Schizosaccharomyces pombe: one gene and its partners. Changing the gene in region 1 together with any one later gene gives a genetic interaction. Each region holds a gene or a part of one and is shown in the gene's direction. Other genes may lie near its edges.

The links. A genetic interaction does not mean that the proteins touch.
Region 2: mutations in alp31 (region 1) and pfd5 together harm fitness more than expected from each alone (negative genetic interaction), as found in Schizosaccharomyces pombe (2 studies listed by BioGRID).
Region 3: mutations in alp31 (region 1) and pfd2 together harm fitness more than expected from each alone (negative genetic interaction), as found in Schizosaccharomyces pombe (2 studies listed by BioGRID).

The regions. Positions count from the first base shown.
Region 1 is NC_003424.3:3,373,950-3,380,339, forward strand, and holds alp31 (tubulin-specific chaperone cofactor A Alp31), read left to right. Parts: upstream 1-3,156; 5' UTR 3,157-3,198; coding exon 3,199-3,267; intron 3,268-3,330; coding exon 3,331-3,417; intron 3,418-3,569; coding exon 3,570-3,773; 3' UTR 3,774-3,951; coding exon of another isoform or gene 3,952-4,009; 3' UTR 4,010-4,054; coding exon of another isoform or gene 4,055-4,072; 3' UTR 4,073-4,119; downstream 4,120-6,390. Other genes in the region: SPOM_SPAC8E11.10 (sorbose reductase), read right to left, coding at 1-35; SPOM_SPAC8E11.12 (uncharacterized protein), read left to right, coding at 747-1,055; SPOM_SPAC8E11.08C (uncharacterized protein), read left to right, coding at 1,567-1,869; SPOM_SPAC8E11.06 (uncharacterized protein), read right to left, coding at 3,952-4,009, 4,055-4,072, 4,120-4,145; SPOM_SPAC8E11.05C (uncharacterized protein), read left to right, coding at 4,323-5,339. UniProt on the Schizosaccharomyces pombe protein: Required for the maintenance of microtubule structures and cell polarity. Beta-tubulin-folding protein; may have a regulatory role in the tubulin-folding pathway.
Region 2 is NC_003423.3:4,025,695-4,031,349, forward strand, and holds pfd5 (prefoldin subunit 5), read left to right. Parts: upstream 1-1,711; 5' UTR 1,712-1,723; coding exon 1,724-1,910; exon of another isoform or gene 1,911-1,964; coding exon 1,965-2,074; exon of another isoform or gene 2,075-2,117; coding exon 2,118-2,223; exon of another isoform or gene 2,224-2,288; coding exon 2,289-2,350; 3' UTR 2,351-2,422; coding exon of another isoform or gene 2,423-2,611; 3' UTR 2,612-2,652; coding exon of another isoform or gene 2,653-3,396; 3' UTR 3,397-3,449; downstream 3,450-5,655. Other genes in the region: SPOM_SPBC215.01 (GTPase-activating protein), read left to right, coding at 1-1,382; COP9/signalosome complex subunit Csn1, read right to left, coding at 2,423-2,611, 2,653-3,396, 3,471-3,745, 3,805-3,865; heterotrimeric G protein gamma subunit Git11, read left to right, coding at 4,861-4,916, 5,006-5,168. UniProt on the Schizosaccharomyces pombe protein: Binds specifically to cytosolic chaperonin (c-CPN) and transfers target proteins to it. Binds to nascent polypeptide chain and promotes folding in an environment in which there are many competing pathways for nonnative proteins.
Region 3 is NC_003424.3:511,967-517,127, forward strand, and holds pfd2 (prefoldin subunit 2), read left to right. Parts: upstream 1-1,835; 5' UTR 1,836-1,864; coding exon 1,865-1,892; intron 1,893-1,941; coding exon 1,942-2,032; exon of another isoform or gene 2,033-2,079; coding exon 2,080-2,203; exon of another isoform or gene 2,204-2,277; coding exon 2,278-2,379; 3' UTR 2,380-2,585; downstream 2,586-5,161. Other genes in the region: fol3 (folylpolyglutamate synthase), read left to right, coding at 1-1,094; putative misfolded glycoprotein sensor Yos9, read right to left, coding at 2,586-3,116, 3,256-3,516, 3,568-3,642; rna4 (Prp4 family U4/U5/U6 small nuclear ribonucleoprotein complex subunit), read left to right, coding at 3,831-3,867, 3,930-5,161.

The DNA.
Region 1 (6,390 bases):
GTGGTTTTACCTTTAAGAGAAAACATAGAAGTCATTATGAGATATATGAAAAAAACCGAACGATGTAATAATTATTAAGAAAAAAAAAACCCCACAAAAATATTTTAGCGAACAAAAAGTGGTAGTAAAATTTATGAACACCGGTTTAATAGCTTTTGATTAGATGAAAAGCAAAAATTTTTTTCCGAAAGATTTTTAATAGTAAGAGAAGGCACTCTTGGCAACCAGAAAGAAAAATTGCTTTGTGGCAATGGACCCAAGGCTTTTATACAAAAAATTTCCTCTTTTTGACACACAGAAAGAGCAGTCCTAAATAGTGTTGTTGGAAAAAATATATGTGTAAATAAACGATTTGCAAAGGAGGAAAAAAATAGCGCAAATAGACAAAACGGTCGTTTTACTCGAGTGACACTAGTAGATCCATCAAACCGATAATATCGGGTATTGTGATGGCTGAGTGGAAAGTTTGAATGAATAACTGCGAGAAACTAGGCTACACACATAGGAGTCAAAATAGTGTAACCCGCAAAATATAGAAATCCAATTCATAAATGTGAGAATGACAATTCATTTATTATAAATTGGAAACTCATTTCATCTTTTCTTTTTTTTTCGTGAAATACTACGAGTTTCTCTTAAATCCGGGGAGAAAGTACGGATAAAATCCCATGATTAAGAAGGGGAGCGTCGGACGACAAAGGTAGCTTAAATTAACAAATGGCCAAGTGATTTTGGCCATTTGGGGTATGATTTCGCTTCTCTCGATCAAGATGCAAGCGATTAAAGAACTGGACTCGGAAGAGGAACCAAAAGTTGGCGAGTTCTATAAGGGCAACACAATTTCGTTTTGCAAAAATTCGCTTGAAAATGATACTCAATTACCTCAAATTCTCTTCTGCATTAATCCTAAATCCATCCGAAATTTTCTTTTTCCACCCATAGCAATATCAGATCCGAAAGAAGCTCAAAATCACTGTTCGTCTTACTATTATATTAAGTACCGGTATTATATTGTACAGTCAAGATGCGGGATGATGGGAAGAATGTCTTTTTAAATATTATCTAAAAAAGGTAATAGTTACATGTTAATAACTATATATATATATTTCCAGACTATACTAGTAAAGTAACGGTTGAAAAAATGTGTAAGTAGAAGAACTATTAAACTTAATTGCGTTCAGTAGTTTCTGCATGGTTTTTAACTAAAACCATGTTCGATATTGTTAACTATTAAATATACTTATTCAAAAAAAAAGAACACCAGATTCTCCTGTCACGCATCTAGGTTTCCAGTTTTTCATCTGTTCCCTCATTAACGTTCTACCAGTTGCCCGCATTGTTCCAGAAGATCAACCCAAATCTGAACGAGATGCAATAGCCTGGAGACTACCAGAGTCTTCATTTTACCCGACCGAGATCGTTTCCATGGTCGGAATCGAACACTGGAATACTTGAGACTTGGCGAAAAATGAGTATTATACAAGGGAAGAAAAGAAGAAGAAAATAAAAGGATAATTTATGTTTTACGGCAATAAAATAATGAATTAATAAGCAAGAAGTATTAAAATGGACTTTACCACTAATGAGGTTCTGTTTAGTAGGTTAGTAGTCTGTAAAAATTTGACAAGAAAAAATTTTCCGTTTCTTCAATTGAAGGGGAGCTCCATTTTAAGATTTGAATGGTCTGAAGAAATGTATAGATTGTATATATGGTTGTTACCGTACCGAAAAGACTATAATGAAAAGTTTAAGGGAATTCTAATAAATCCTTCTATTTTTCTTCTTGGCTGTCATCATGTTCAAATATGCAGTTTTCCGAACAACCTTGTATTTTTCATGGGAAAATGCGATTTGTTTCGTTTTTGTTAGCTTTGTTTGAATACCATTTTTTAACTTATGCGATACTTTCTAAACGGAGTTCACTTTTTAAATTAATCTATATCAACTGAGCCGTTCAATTCAATCCCTTTTTTTATATCAGCTTGTAAACAAACGTTTCAGGAAATGAGAAAGTTCAAAAAGCGTTAAACAGTGAATGCTTGTATGTTGAGCTTTGACTTGTTTGCAAATGTTTAATTGTCGAAATTCATCATCTGTATCTGTCCAAAGTTGTGAACTGACAAGATAGAGATTAATTTGTTAGATCACGCAAAGTACGATATGTTTAAAATGCTTATACCAGGTTGCAGTCTTTGTTTTTCATAGCTTTGCAAAAAAAAAAGTGGATTAAAATACTAATGACTACTAGGGTTCGAAAGGTTGCTGTTCGATTATGAAAAAGCGTTCACTCTTTTATCTCCCAAGCGATGATTTGAATTTTTGATGCATCTGTGGCGTAGAATATGATCAATCATTTTAGAAAACAGAATAATATTCAAGGATCCATTTAAAGTCCTATATAGAGTAAAGGATTTTAGCTATTATCCTCACATTGAAGACTGGTCCCATTATACCGAAGTCTGTTGACATTAATATCGTTGTACCGGCTTTTTGAGTAGACTAAATATCTTGTACAGGATCTACTTTGAAAGAGGGTATTAGGTCCTTTTTTTATTTTTTGTTTTCCAAGGATTAAGATAGAAGCTGAATTTTTTTGGCTAGGCAAAGTTGACTAATTATTAACAGACTGTGGTTCGAGTGATTAGCAATCAACCTATCCTTATATGAAATCGTGCTTTTAACAATTTCGGTTGTTGGGAGATAACTGTGTGTACGGAGAATCAGAAATTTTTGTTTTGGAAAATATTTGTAAAAGCAATTACGTCTAAATATAATGAATTACGCGCTAGAAAATTTTCATATAGCTGAATCCCGAAAAGCTCAACCTCCCATATGATTGAGCATCCATAAAAGCATGAAATTTTTGGTACAAGTATCGGTGAATCGTAAATTTAGAAATAACTGAGCAATTTTATCTCATACATAATATAGGAATGAAACGTTTGTCGATCAATAACTAGTCTGATACTTGATGCAAACATTTAATCAAATACCCTTTTTTAGGAATTTAAGGAAAGGGCTTTAAAAGAAATTGAAAACTTAACTAGAACTAGCTTTTCTTAATCGTTTCTCGTAACTTATCACCACACGCTAACATTAGCATTCCTTTGTATTCCAACGTTACCTACACTGCAGTCAAGGAAAATCATCCAACCTAACATTATTCCTTTGCATATCGCGTCCATTTTATTTTCTACCATGTCAAATACTGTTAGGAGCTTAGTCATCAAAACTAATGTCGTTAAAAGAATTATTAAAGATGTAGAAGTAAGTTTCCTTTTTGGATCGCGATTTTGTAGATGGAATTTTCTGACCTCAACAATTGTTTAGTTGGCTCATATCGATATTAACGAGGCCGAGAAACGTGTACAAAGTAAAATTGATAATGGGGAAGATTCTGCAGAAATTGAGCATCAGGTATGTTGCATTAGTTGAAACCATATAAACGTTGGACGTGTTGTGCTAGAAGATGTTTCTACCAAGCTGAAGATACTTTTCGGTGGTTTCCGCTTTAGCGTATCTTTTTTAAAATAAAAAATAATCAAAGTACTGACATTCTGGACCTCTAGAAATTTGTTTTGAAGAAGCATCTTGAGGCGTTGCCAGATGCTCTTGTACGTCTTCGTAATGCGACGAACGACTTGGAATCCATTTCTTCTGACAGTGCATACGAAGGAACTCCTGAACTTGAACAAGCAAATGAATATTTAGAAAAAGCAAAAGAAGTAATTGAAAAAGAGCAAACGAATTTCCCCACGAATGGGTACCACTGAATACACATTTACTAGCTTTTGTAGATCCCTGCTAAAATTTATTACTGACCCTTCAAAAGACGATCATGAAAAGGTTCTACGTTCATCATTCTTTACCCACCCTTTCAATGCTATCCTACTCAACTGTACTGTGTCTTCGATTTTTATTCCAATCCATTAAAATAATAGACAATCCCAACTACTTAAGGATTATCCAAGTCATGCTTAAATCTTTTTTAAGATTTCGCCAATCTATTCTAATTTTGCCAGTTAGGTGAAACTGTTCACATAAAAAAACATACGTATTCCCCTTTATTCTACTAGAGATTTAAATTTTAGCTGGACAATCAAACAATTTTAAAACAACCAAATGTTCCTGCTAACAAGCAGCATAGACAGTCGTCCTCTAGTATTTATTTGCACTTTTATTGTGAGTGTAATGTAGCGTATCACTATGTTAGATTGTACAGCTCATTGTTTGACGTTACTTACCATCTGAGCAAAGAGAAAGAAACACTTCGCGTGAACATTAAACAGATTGGGAGCATAAAACGTTCCATTTGTATACCTATGGCAAGTCCGCCAATATTATCAAGGGAATCACCTGTGTTGGGTTTAGAAGAAGAGAAGAAATCTGACGGCGGCAACTCTGAAGTAAATATTGACCCTTCTGCATCTTCATCGTTGAAGGAAGATGTAGATGGCGAAGAGGGAGCTGATACAAAAATAGATCCACACCTTCTTGAAGAAGATGATTTAAATCCTGTAGAGGATTACGATTCTAAAAACCAAAAAGTCGTTGAAGCATCTAAACTTGACCTTGACGCTACATCAACTGTTTGGGCGGAGAGTCTTAGTATTAATAGAGAAGCTAGTATTTCCCAATCAGGCATTGTAGACAATGAAATGGAGAAAAAAGTTGAAGAGGAAGAAGAGTTTGACGAATTTGACGATTTTGGTGAATTTGAACATGATATCCCCATCTGTACATTTATGGGTGATTGGCAAGATGATTTCCAAGATGCTGTCAATTCTGTATTTGGACTACCTGAAACTCCGAAAACAATTGAAGAATCCTCCTTGGATCCGGATCGTATATTGTCTCTTTGGCAAAAACTGATTGAAATGCCCGTGCTGCAACGGCCAGATTGGCTGAGGTCTAGCATCAGGCATATTTTTTTAGTTACTATGGGTCTTCCTGTTGATTTGGATGAACTTTTGCCTACTCCTTCTACCCAGGGATCATTCAATTCTTCACGCACAATAGAATTGTCTTCCGTGACGTTGCCAAAATCTGAGGATGAACCATATTTAGATTATTCAGCTGCTCGTCGTTTATGCAGCATAAACAAAGACGCATTAACCCACCGATCTCATGAGTCTTTACAACAGCATATAGAGTTACTAGAATCAACTCTGCAGCAAGCTGTTGAAGTTGCTCGATATTGGACCGATAAAAGGGATTCAGCTCTTAGCGATAAGTTGTTATATGAGACGGTTGTCGATGATTTAGTTCAACATAGCAAACGTTTAAGAAACTCTGGTCGTAAATTCCTTTCTAGAAGGAGCACTTCCTCTCATAAATGATCCCTTTATATCTTTAATTACCGACCTCTTTTCCTGAATTGCTGTTTTCTTGTTTAATTTTACGGGAGTAAAATAAAACGGAAGCGTTTTATTTTTGTTGCTGACGAACCTTTGTTACGTCTAACGTGATTAGATTTGACTTGTGATTCAGCTGTATTGTCTTCTTCGATTCTTTTGCCTCTTCTCTTCTTTTTAATGACTAATATTTTAATGACTCTTCTCTATGTGTTTATCAATATTATGTCAACCACTTGTAAATATAAATGGAACAGTATCCTAACCTAAGCGCCATTCTTGGTTATTTACATAATAGTCCATAATTATCTCTAAAGAAAAGGAGCAAATTTTGATTCACTGTTGGTACTTAAGTTATTCATCGTTAAAAAAACATTAAGAACATTTGTCGACACATTTCTGGCAAATTGATAACAACTTGAATGAACTGTTAAAATTATAAGCAGGAAGTTGAAATTTTATTTTTATTTATACTTATTCGTTAGACTTGCATTTGGAATGCTTTGGATTTACTAGTACCCTTATTCTCTTACAACCTGGACGTTCCTAGTAATATCAAACAATTAATTGACTTATGGAATTAGATGGCTTATCGACTAAAAAAAGCTAAGGCATTTCTTGACTAAAAACGCAAGGAAAGGACTATAAAAATTTGATTGTTACTACAGGTAAATCGAGAACCATCGTATATAGGAGCTGCAAAATTTTGTATATTATTGGTATGTTTGTCAGACGCTAAATGATTCTTACTTGATGGATAGTTTAACCTTTTTTTTTTGAGATTTACATGCAATTCATCTATTGCCTAAATTCACCAGCCATTATTTTGACAAATGCATTAAACTATTTAAGTATAGCGATTGCTTTTATAAAAGGATTTTGGTGCAGTACTAGGAATATGAATACGCGATTGATATTGAGTAATGTTCTGGCACAAGCGTTTTCAGCTGACAGATTTAAGCAGTCTGTTTTATAACTATTCTCAAGTAATACTTTCCCATTGAAAATAAAAAGTTATTTTTGTAATGTGGTTGGA
Region 2 (5,655 bases), on another chromosome or scaffold:
AACTTAGCATCATTTCTTTGCCGTGGTTTTTGTCGCTTTTCCTTTGCACAATGCCTTTACCGTATGCGTTTAGGTTGTTAGACTTTTTCTTTCTAGAGGGTCCAAGGGTTTTGTTTCAAATTGGAATGGCTATCCTATATGACAACGAAGCTGAAATTATGAAGGCTACAGAAGACACTATGTTGATATCAATTTTAAAAAATTATTTTTCATCATTGGGAGATAAGGCTTATAAAGATGCAACAGATAAACGCGTTGCCTCTATCACGAAGTTTCAACTTTTATTGGTAACTGCTTTCAAGAAGTTTAGCCATATAACACACTCTTTAATTGAAGATGAAAGGAAAAAACATTACGAAGGAGTTATGAATTCTATTGAGTCATTTGCAAAGAGAACACAAATTAGGAGTTTACAAAATTACGGTACATTAACACGTACGGATTTAAGTAATATTTACGACCGTTATCATGAAGTATTGTCGTCCAAACATCGAGTTGGATTAGGCAGCTCTACTGATACACGGTTGGAATTTGACGAATTTTGTATATTTTTAGCAGGAGTTACTGAATGGGCGAAAGGTTTGGATGCAGCGGCTATCAATAATTCATCATCCTTTCTTCGTCATTTGTTTTTACGATTTGACAAAAGCATGACTGGATCATTATCTTTACAGGATTTGGTGTCCGGTATTGCAGAATTGAAATTTAGGGATGTAATGCGCAATATATCTTTTATATTCGAGCTTTATGACTTTAATGGAGATGGTTTTATGGATAAACCAGACGTTTTGAAGGTTTCAGAAGCTATTCTTTGGTTAACTAGGTTTATGGGTGATGAGTATCTATCCGCAGTTAGCGAATTCATACAACGCTGCTTTCATTTTGCTGATGAAGCTAGTCCTGATGGTCATTCTGATACGTTGATTGATATAAGCGACCATATGAGCAGTACTGGTTCTGAAAACCGTTCTGTTGGTGCTAATAGTGATATCAAAGTTAGTCTTCCCACTTTTAGAATGGTTGTTTTATCAATTGGTTTATTAGAGCAATTATTTTCTGGAGGACTCGCCGACTCTATCGTTTTAGCTCCAGTCCAAGAAAAATCATCAACCACCGGAGGTTTGAGAGGTTTATTGGATTCTTTGGTAATTGATACCAATAGGATTGGTAAAACATTTCGTGGGCATAAACCCGCTTCTCGTCCAAGTACCGCAAATGGTACTAGCAATCAAAATACTACTTCTGAAATTACCACATCGGAAACTACGGCGACTGAAAAAACACCTTCAAATTCTTCAGATACCGAAGATGATGTTGGTGATGTTGTAGAAAACGATAAAGATTTGCTTCAATTTGATCCATACAAAAAAAATGATGCTTAAAAAGCTATACTTAAACTTCTAATCAATGGCACTATAATGCATCCTAACTAGTATTATTTTCCCAAATTTTGTTAATCTTCATGCTCATAATTTATTAATTATTGAAAAATCTATCATCTATATTGATATATTCTATAGCGTCCCTCTGCTCAATAACATATTCGATTCTACTTTCACTGTTTGGTATAATTCTGAATAACTGTTTAAAACAAATATTGTTTCAACCAACTAACTGATTGTATATTGAAATGGATTACCATGTACCTGTAATTTAATGCAGTGCAGCGTTGGAATTTCTACCAGTTCCTTCGTATCTTGACTGTTCTAATAGAAGCGTAATAATGGCTGAAGGTAATAAAGCGGTCGATTTGACTTCTCTCAGCTTGGAGCAATTATCAGAAGTTATAAAACAGTTAGATTCTGAGCTAGAGTATCTATCGACCTCCTATGGACAACTAGGACGTGCTCAATTGAAATTTCGTGAATGCCTGGCAAACGTTAACGATGCTGTGCGGGCTGAGAACGATGGTATAGACAAACTGAAATTTTTTTTGCATATGTTTCACTAACTATTGTCAATAGGAAAGGAGGTTTTGGTACCTTTGACTTCAAGCTTGTATGTTCCTGGAAAGCTGAATTTAGGAAACAGTAAATTGTTGGTCGATATTGGGACTGGTTATTACGTTGAAAAGGTATTTTTAATATATAAGAGATTTTTAAACCTAACGACATTAGTCCGCTGGAGAAGCTACCGAATATTATAAAAGAAAATGTGAATATCTCGCCAGCAGTATCGAGAACCTCAACAATGCCATTGACGCAAAATCAGTTCAAATTAGAGGTATGAGCATTTACAGTACAGATCAATTTTTATCTTATTATCAACAATTTGCTAATTCTCTGTAGCCGTTCAAAACATTATGCAACAAAAGGCAACAGCTACAACAGCTGCAACTAAATCTTCATAAGCTAAATAATTAATGAAATTTCAAAAAAAGTAAGTAAAGGATTAACCAATTATATGATGTGCATGCTTTTTGTTAGTTCTGTGAATCTTCCGCGGTAATGTTCGTTTGAGCGATAACTGGAGCTTCGTCGTCAGTATTTTCAGTGTTCATCGCCGCCAATGTTTGTAAGTAAAGAGCCTTGCTGTAAAGCAAACTAGTTTGCGCGATATTTTTTATGTCCTCGAAGTTTTCAGGCTCTGAAGAAGGTTCGATATAAACACGCTTATAAAGTTAGACCAATATAGCAGATTTATTATACTTACCTTTTGAAGAGAGTCCACCTTGCCATTTAATTTTTTGGCTTCGATTATTTCTAATAAATTTTTCTCAATGAAGTTCTCATCAATATGAAAATCAACTGCAATTTTGCTGAACGGCAAAGCACTGTAAGGAATTAAATAGTCAAGAAGTGAACGCTCCCGAATAAGGGAAAATAAATTTGTCAATTGAGGAGCCAGATACATGTCTAAAGAATAGTCTTGAGCATTTTGCTGTAATGTATCAAGCAAAAGACTATATTTGCGATTACATTTCGCTTGCAAACAACGTCTCAGGGAAGGGTCTAAATCTGACAAAGCATTGAACTCTTCATTTCTTTCAAGCTCTTGAATCAGACGTTTATGATCCCAGCACGCTAGTGCACAAAGTGAGATATACACTGAAATGTCAGTTTTTGTAATAATACCATCAGAGGTATCAGTTTCAACTTTTAAAAAATGAGCCAGGGCCTCTTCGTAATCACCCAAGCAAAAGTTGGCCAATCCACAGTATGCATAAATAGGACTAGTTAGCTCCATGGCTGCACTAACAGTAGACTTGGCGCGAGACCCGAAGGCTAGTACATGAGAATAATTACCAATCCAAATAGAAATTCTCATTAACTCTAAGGATAAATGAGCAATTTGTCCAGCATTTGTACAATATTCGCGAACTTTGGCATATGATCTTAAAGCACTATCAAACTGGCCCACATCAGCAAAAAAAGAAGCTAAATCTAGTTGTGCCGCCTAAAGTTGTTAGAATTGTAACAAAGGATGTAATAAAAAGTCTGTGAAGCAAAAAGTTATCTTGTAGCTCATACTCTTATAGATTCTCGTATTAAGTTGTTTTTATAGGCTTTTAGTTCCCTTCTTAATTGTTCTAGATTTTGTTTCCTATGAAAAGTAACGCTTTCAACCCATTCTACGTCCAGCTGCTCGTTTTCGAAGCAATCTTGAAACTCCTCGAATAGAGACTGGTACAACTCTAGATTATATGTCTTTTCTTTCAATTCTTTAATGGCATAATGAACACAAAAACTTCTTAACGGCTTAGAATTACGGGCGACAAACAGCGCGCGAAATATTTTGGACCATACTATGAAACTGTGAATAAAAGAATGACTTGCAAAAATGCATCAATTGAAAAACTCTTACCACCATATTCATCCAGATATCTCTTTAATTCTTCCTGATTGACTAGTAGATTTAAGCTCATAATAGAAAACTCGTAACTAGTCGGAACACTGTAGGTTATAGAATTGGCCAACTGGTTATAGGCCAGTGACGAGTACCAGATGTATAAAAGCTATAATAAGATGGTGATTTTTTCAAGTCGAAGATGTATGTAGTTAATTAGTTCTACTTTACGGAAACGAGAAAAACATATCATATTGATTTTATTTCTTTCCCCAAATTTCCAAGCAAAATCGCATCTAAAGTTAGGATATGAGTTTACTATTAATATGAGATACCAAGATTAGAACCCCATGTATTCAATAATAAAAATAAAAAATATGAAAATTGTTGCAAATATCTTTTAACTATTCCCTTGAAACAATGCTCAACTCTAATTAAAGCATTTCCTAATTGAGATTTAAAAAATAAACGAACAAATCTATAGCCAAAGAATTGTTGAAGTCTAAATAAAAAATAATAAATTTTCTTTTAAAAAAAAAGGAAACTTAAGGTGGTTGAATTTACTAATCTACTTCGAGTTATAGGAAGTTTGGTTATGTAACTTCTTTACTTAGAAAATAAGACAACGATAGTAAAGAAATTTACGAGCAGAATTCATAATTTCGTTTTAAAAATCCAATCAACATAAAGTATCTACTTTGTCCTCCCAATGACAAAATCTTTGTATCTGTCACAAGTTTATTGTTTATATGTTTTCGCATTAACAATTATTTTGTTAAGAGAAGTGTAATATATGCGTATTCTACTTGGAAAGAACAAACTAAAGAGATAAAAAAATCCTGAAAGTGAAAGGCATTTGAGTAGTGTCAAATTTACAATTGGAAAACTGCTATTCTATTTTTTTTCCTCTTTTTATATTAGGGAATATAAGGTTAAACAACATAATCAAATAACGATACTTAGTGCGCTTAGAAGCACACCTACATATATGTATGATGAAATGGTCAGGCAAGGCTATAATTTTACTTAACAGGCATTACTTATTGAAATTGTAGTTGATCGGTCCTTAAACAAATGGAAACAGAGGCTTTATTGAATGAAAAAATATCGGTTCAACAAGCAAGACAGGAGTAAGTGTTTTTACAGCAAATTTCATGACGTGAAACAAAAAATGCTTGATTTGATCTCAAAGTTTGAAAAGTTGCTAACTGAACTTTAGATTTGCTAATTATGCAAATAATATACCGGAACCAATGATGGTATCGGTTGCTCCGCCTAAAGCAAATCCGTCAGTCAGTTCGAAGACAAAGCAGCAGCAGCATTTTAAGCCTGGTAAAGCGACGAAGGATAAGGCCACTACCAAATGCTGTACTATTTCCTAATGTTTTGTGGAACGTTGTTTAAGCATCTTACGTGCACTTCCTACCGTCTGTGCTCACCTAGTAATTAACATGAAAGGAGCATTTATTGTCTATTCCTATACCAATCATTAGGATGAGTGATTTATCAGATTGGTAAATTTGTTATTTATACTCTTTATTTTATTTCGTACTATTTCGATTTTACCATAATTATTCTTTTGGACCTTAGTTATCGGAATGGCAATTCGTCAAATAACCGACACAGTGGACCATTTTCTCCTAACTTAATAATTTTCTAATACTGATTCAATCGTTATTTATTCATATAAAATACAATTTTTTGACGAGACTTTCTCATTATCTGAATTTGTTATTCTTTGTTTTCTTCAAAGCAAACAAAACAGCGCTCAGGATAAAAGGTTATGTTCGGGGGATTGTTAACTATTCTATTTTTTTTTGGTTTATTTATATATTTAAAAATTCTAATCTCTTATAACACTTGAAGCTA
Region 3 (5,161 bases), 2.9 Mb from region 1:
GACGCTATACAAGTCCTCATTTCTTAGAGCCAAGAGATACCATAAGCATAAATGGTCAGATTGCTAGTGAAGAGATATTTAATACTTGTTGGAAGCAGGTGATTGAAGTGGATAGAAGATTTCGTACAAAAGCGACGGAATTTGAATTGTTAACTGCTACTGCGTTCCAATGTTTTCATCATTCAGGTGTTCGTGTGGCTGTAATTGAAACAGGAATGGGTGGTCGTTTGGATGCTACTAATGTATTTGAAGAACCAGTTCTTTCAATAATTTCACGTATTTGCTTGGACCATCAAGCATTTTTAGGAAATACCTTAGAGGCTATTGCTAAAGAAAAGGCTGGGATCTTTAAAAAGAATGTTCCGTGCGTGGTTGATGGGTTAAATGAAGTTAACGTCCTAAATCAATTAAAATTAAGTGCAGAGGAAACGAGGGCACATCCGTTTTATTTGGCAAAAGGAAAATCAGGTGAAAACAAAAATGAGTGGATCATCAATACTCCAAATTGGGGAACCAATACTTTTAGTACTCCATTGAAGGGGGATTATCAAGGACAAAATTTGGCTTGTGCAGTAACTGCTCTCGATATCCTTTCTTCGTCATTTTCAATTATGCTTCCCCATGTACAAAATGGTGTAAAAAATACATCTTGGCCTGGAAGGCTTGACATTCGTTCGGTTCCTTCTTTGGGTGATATTTTATTTGACGGAGCACACAATAAAGAAGCTGCGATTGAGCTTGCGAAATTTGTAAATTCGCAAAGACGTGAGCACAATAAATCAGTATCATGGGTAGTAGCTTTCACTAACACAAAAGACGTTACTGGGATTATGAAAATCCTTCTTCGTAAAGGAGATACCGTTATAGCGACAAATTTTTCTTCAGTAAGTGGGATGCCCTGGATTAAATCAATGGAACCTGAAGTTATAAAAAACAGTATATCTTCGGAATCTTCTGTGGAATGCTATACTGCAGATAATCTAACAATAAGCGAAATTTTAAGACTGGCAAAAGAGAAGAATTCCAGCGTAATTGTATGCGGTAGTCTTTATCTTCTAGGAGACATGTATCGTTATTTAAAACTGGACGTATAGCCTCTAAATCGTGCTGTTTACTTTCATACGTTTTTCCTTGTTTGACAAATTTATCATATGAATTGTCACAGAGTGATGAATTGTGCTCTAGAGAATTTTGTTCCATGACTTAAAAACTAAAATTTACTTTCAAAGAAGCTTGAATGATGCTATCAGGTTAATAGAAAAAAGATAAAAGATTTATATTAAGCTTTGATGGGTTTTTGGTGTGAGTTAAGATATTGAGTTAGAAATTGACTTATAGATTACGAATACATTAGTTTAAATACTTGGTGCGCTCTGCCTGCAGCCTTAATAAAACAGATATTATTTTCATTATGTGACTAGATCTTGATTTACAATTCTTACAAGATAAGGTGGGATAACTGAAGCATATTTAGCACATTGAAAGATTCCGCCTTTCTTTTAATTATTATTAAATACTGTCGTAACTGCAATAAAATAAGTAAAACGCTGAAATCGTTAAAAAAATATACCCTTCTATCTCACAGGTTGAGCTAATCAAGTTGATATACGTATAGTGCAAATGATAGGCATTTAAAAATTAGACTAATATAGTTTAACTATTACATTAATTTTAAAATACACAAACATTTAATTACTGTTTTAAAATTATACTCAGAGTCTAATTAATTACAGATTTACCGTAATCCATAGCGCTTGTTATCTATCATTACAGCAACAATGATTGCTACGCACTAAAATTCGTATACGTTTTAGATATAACATGTATAATCCACCAACATTTTTTGAGTATACAAAAAAGCAGAATGGCTGAACAACCTTCTCGGCAGCAGAGTATGTACTGTGGATGAGTTTAAAATACAAAATAGTTGACCAGTTCCAGTTCTACAGACGCAGTACAATTCATATAAGTCTCGGTTACAACAAATTGCGCAGAAGATTGTCGATTTGGAAACCGATGCTGACGAACATAAGTATGTGATACATAAAAAATTTTTAAATTAAATACCTAACTAAAAAGACTTGTTATGGACACATTAAACTCCATGGATAATAATCGACGTTGTTTTCGAATGATCCATGGAGTGCTAGTGGAGAGAACGGTGGGAACTGTTGTGCCTATCCTTAAAACTACTCAAGAAGGGGTAAGGAATTTTTTTATTTTGACCCTTTATTGTCAGATGAATTTTTGGTCTTGATGTACTAATCAAAATATTAGATTCAAACAGCCATGAATGGTTTGCTCGACCAGTATAAGCAGCTCGAAGCAGAATTCCAAAAGTTTCAAAAAGACAATAAAATTCAAGTCGTTAGACAATAATACAGATGACTCCATTAATTGCGCAGTTGCGTTCATTGACACGCCGACTGTTTTTCAAGTGCTTTATCTTCGGTTTAACATTTTTTTCCTAAACAGAGGAACAGGGATAGAATCCAAGAGTATTTGTGTCATCAAATATCATCACTTTATGTTATTAGAGTTTCACTTAAACCGTAGACTTAATACATGTAGTAAGTTAGGTAGAACTAACTTGATTGCGTCTCTACCTCCTTCACCTCAGGCGGAGATGTTTGAGCAACTTCATCAACAACGTGCTGGGAATCCTTATGGTCGACTTCGTTTGATTTTTCTTTAATTACATTATAGCACACAATTTTTTCAGAGGGTATGTCCTCTTGAATTTTGAAAGCAGGTAATGAGCATAAACCGGGAACGTGAATAGTCATTGAATATGCACAGCTTGAAACTTCTTGATATTGAGTAATTTCAGGAGTATCCGAATTTGTACTGCATTCATAACTTAGAATTACGTGTCTTGGTCTCTTAGTAATGTCGCACATAGTCCCATTTCGGAAAGTTGTTTGCAAATATGCTTTACCTTCAACAAATCCAATAGCCCAATTTTCTTCCAAATTCTTTTTAGTTTGAGTGTTAGGTGCCGTACCAAGTATATACATAGGGTTAGCAAGGACTTTGTCAGAACCTTGCTGCGGCTCCAAATGATATTGACGCACGTGTTGACCGTAGACATAGTCATAAGTCCAATAACCACGATTCTAATACAATGATTAGCTTGAAAAACACTACATGTACTAAAAGTAGTCATTAATTCTAAAATTTTTATGGACATGTCAAATAATGACCTTTTAGTAAAGTTGGTTTGTTTAAGACAAATAAAACAATTAGAACTCGTACCTCGATTAAAAATACATTAGCAAGCTCATTGATTTTTTCAGTCCCTTGTATCCGCAATTCTTGTAAATCATAGCTTGGTTCGGTTGTGCTATTTTGTTTTATAAGAGACGCATTGGGATATACACAAAAATATTCATGCTTTCCAGCATAGAATAATGACGATAATTTAGTTTTTTCAGTTTTTTCTTTAATTGAGTCAATGTCGCCCTCTAATATTGACACATTACTCCATTCAAACGAATATTTAGGATATTCATATGCCTACAAAGGAAGTCCGTTAGAATTGAAGAGAAATTAGGTTCAAGAGCATACATCATTCCAGTCTAACAAAGAAGCTAAACATATTGGAAAAATAAAAAACCCCACAAAAGCAAATGGTAGCACCATAGTCCTAACTTTAGATGAGCCGATTGCAGGTAGAATCAAATGTGGAAACATACTTGAACTGAACATATGCGTTATATCACAGTATACCGAAGTGCGCAAAGCTCGAACAATTTACAAAAAGCTAAATACGATAGTGCGTAAAAAATAGTAGTTTACATTAGAGGTAAGTGTTACACGAGATTGTTAACATGAATGAAAACGAGGGCATTTCACTTGGTGAATTAGGTACGTTGCTACTAGAAGCATTAACTCCTCCTTTTAAATTTTAAACTAATAAAAAACTTTAGAAACAAGACCGTTTTCAGAAGGGATAACGCGGTTTACAAAAGAACAAGCAGCTTATTACGCGGAGCAAAAGGAAAAGGATCGCATTAAGGCTCTTAAAATTCCTTATGAAGATTCCAAAGTTCGTGAATATCTGCGTCGTTATGGTGAACCCATAACTTATTTTGGTGAAGATGCCTTAGCCCGACGCCAAAGGCTTCAGCAATTAATGATCGAAAAGTCCCTAGAAGGAGACAATCCATTAGATGTAGACCAAGGGGCTTCTGAAAATATTGAGAAGGAGACGTATGTTCAAGGAAGTCACGAACTATTAGTTGCTCGTAAAAAAATAGCTCTTTACTCCTTGGAAAAGGCAAAGCTCAGATTAAAAAAAGAACGGGAAATTTCCGAGATTCCAGTACCTGAAATTGTACTTTCCGGAAAGTCTTCAATCGAACATTTACAAAAGGCTGAATTGATGGGCTCTCAGATAGGTGGTGAGCGACCAATAGCCATTGTTAGATTCAGTAATAATGGAAATCATTTTGCTAGCGGAAGCTGGGGTGGCCAGGTCAAGGTGTGGAATTCTGATAACCTCTCAGAGGTTCAATTGTTTCGCGGCCATACCGACCGAGTTTCTGGTTTGGATTGGTATCCTCTATGTCAGGCATGGGATGCAGATTCTGAGCAGCTGACTTTAGCGACTGGAGCCGCAGACAATACTGTTTGTTTGTGGAAAGCAAGTCAATCTACTCCACTGTTACGTTTGGAAGGACATTTGGCTCGTGTTGGTCGAGTTGCTTTTCATCCAAGTGGTGATTACTTAGTTTCTGCCTCATTCGACACTACATGGCGGTTATGGGATGTACATACAGGCGTTGAGTTGCTTATGCAAGAAGGTCATTCGGAAGGGATTTTTTCAATCGCCTGTCAGCCAGATGGGTCGTTAGTTAGCTCAGGTGGTAATGATGCTATCGGTCGGATTTGGGATCTTCGATCAGGCAAATCAATAATGGTATTAGATGAACATATTCGTCAAATTGTCGCGATGGCTTGGAGTCCAAACGGCTACCAACTTGCAACTTCTTCAGCCGATGATACTGTGAAAATATGGGACTTGCGGAAAGTGTCATTGGCACATACTATTCCCGCACATTCTTCTCTTGTTTCAGACGTTCGTTATATTGAATCAGGTGTTAACAGATTCATCGCTACGAGTGGTTATGATGGCTGCGTAAAGCTTTGGAACCCGTTG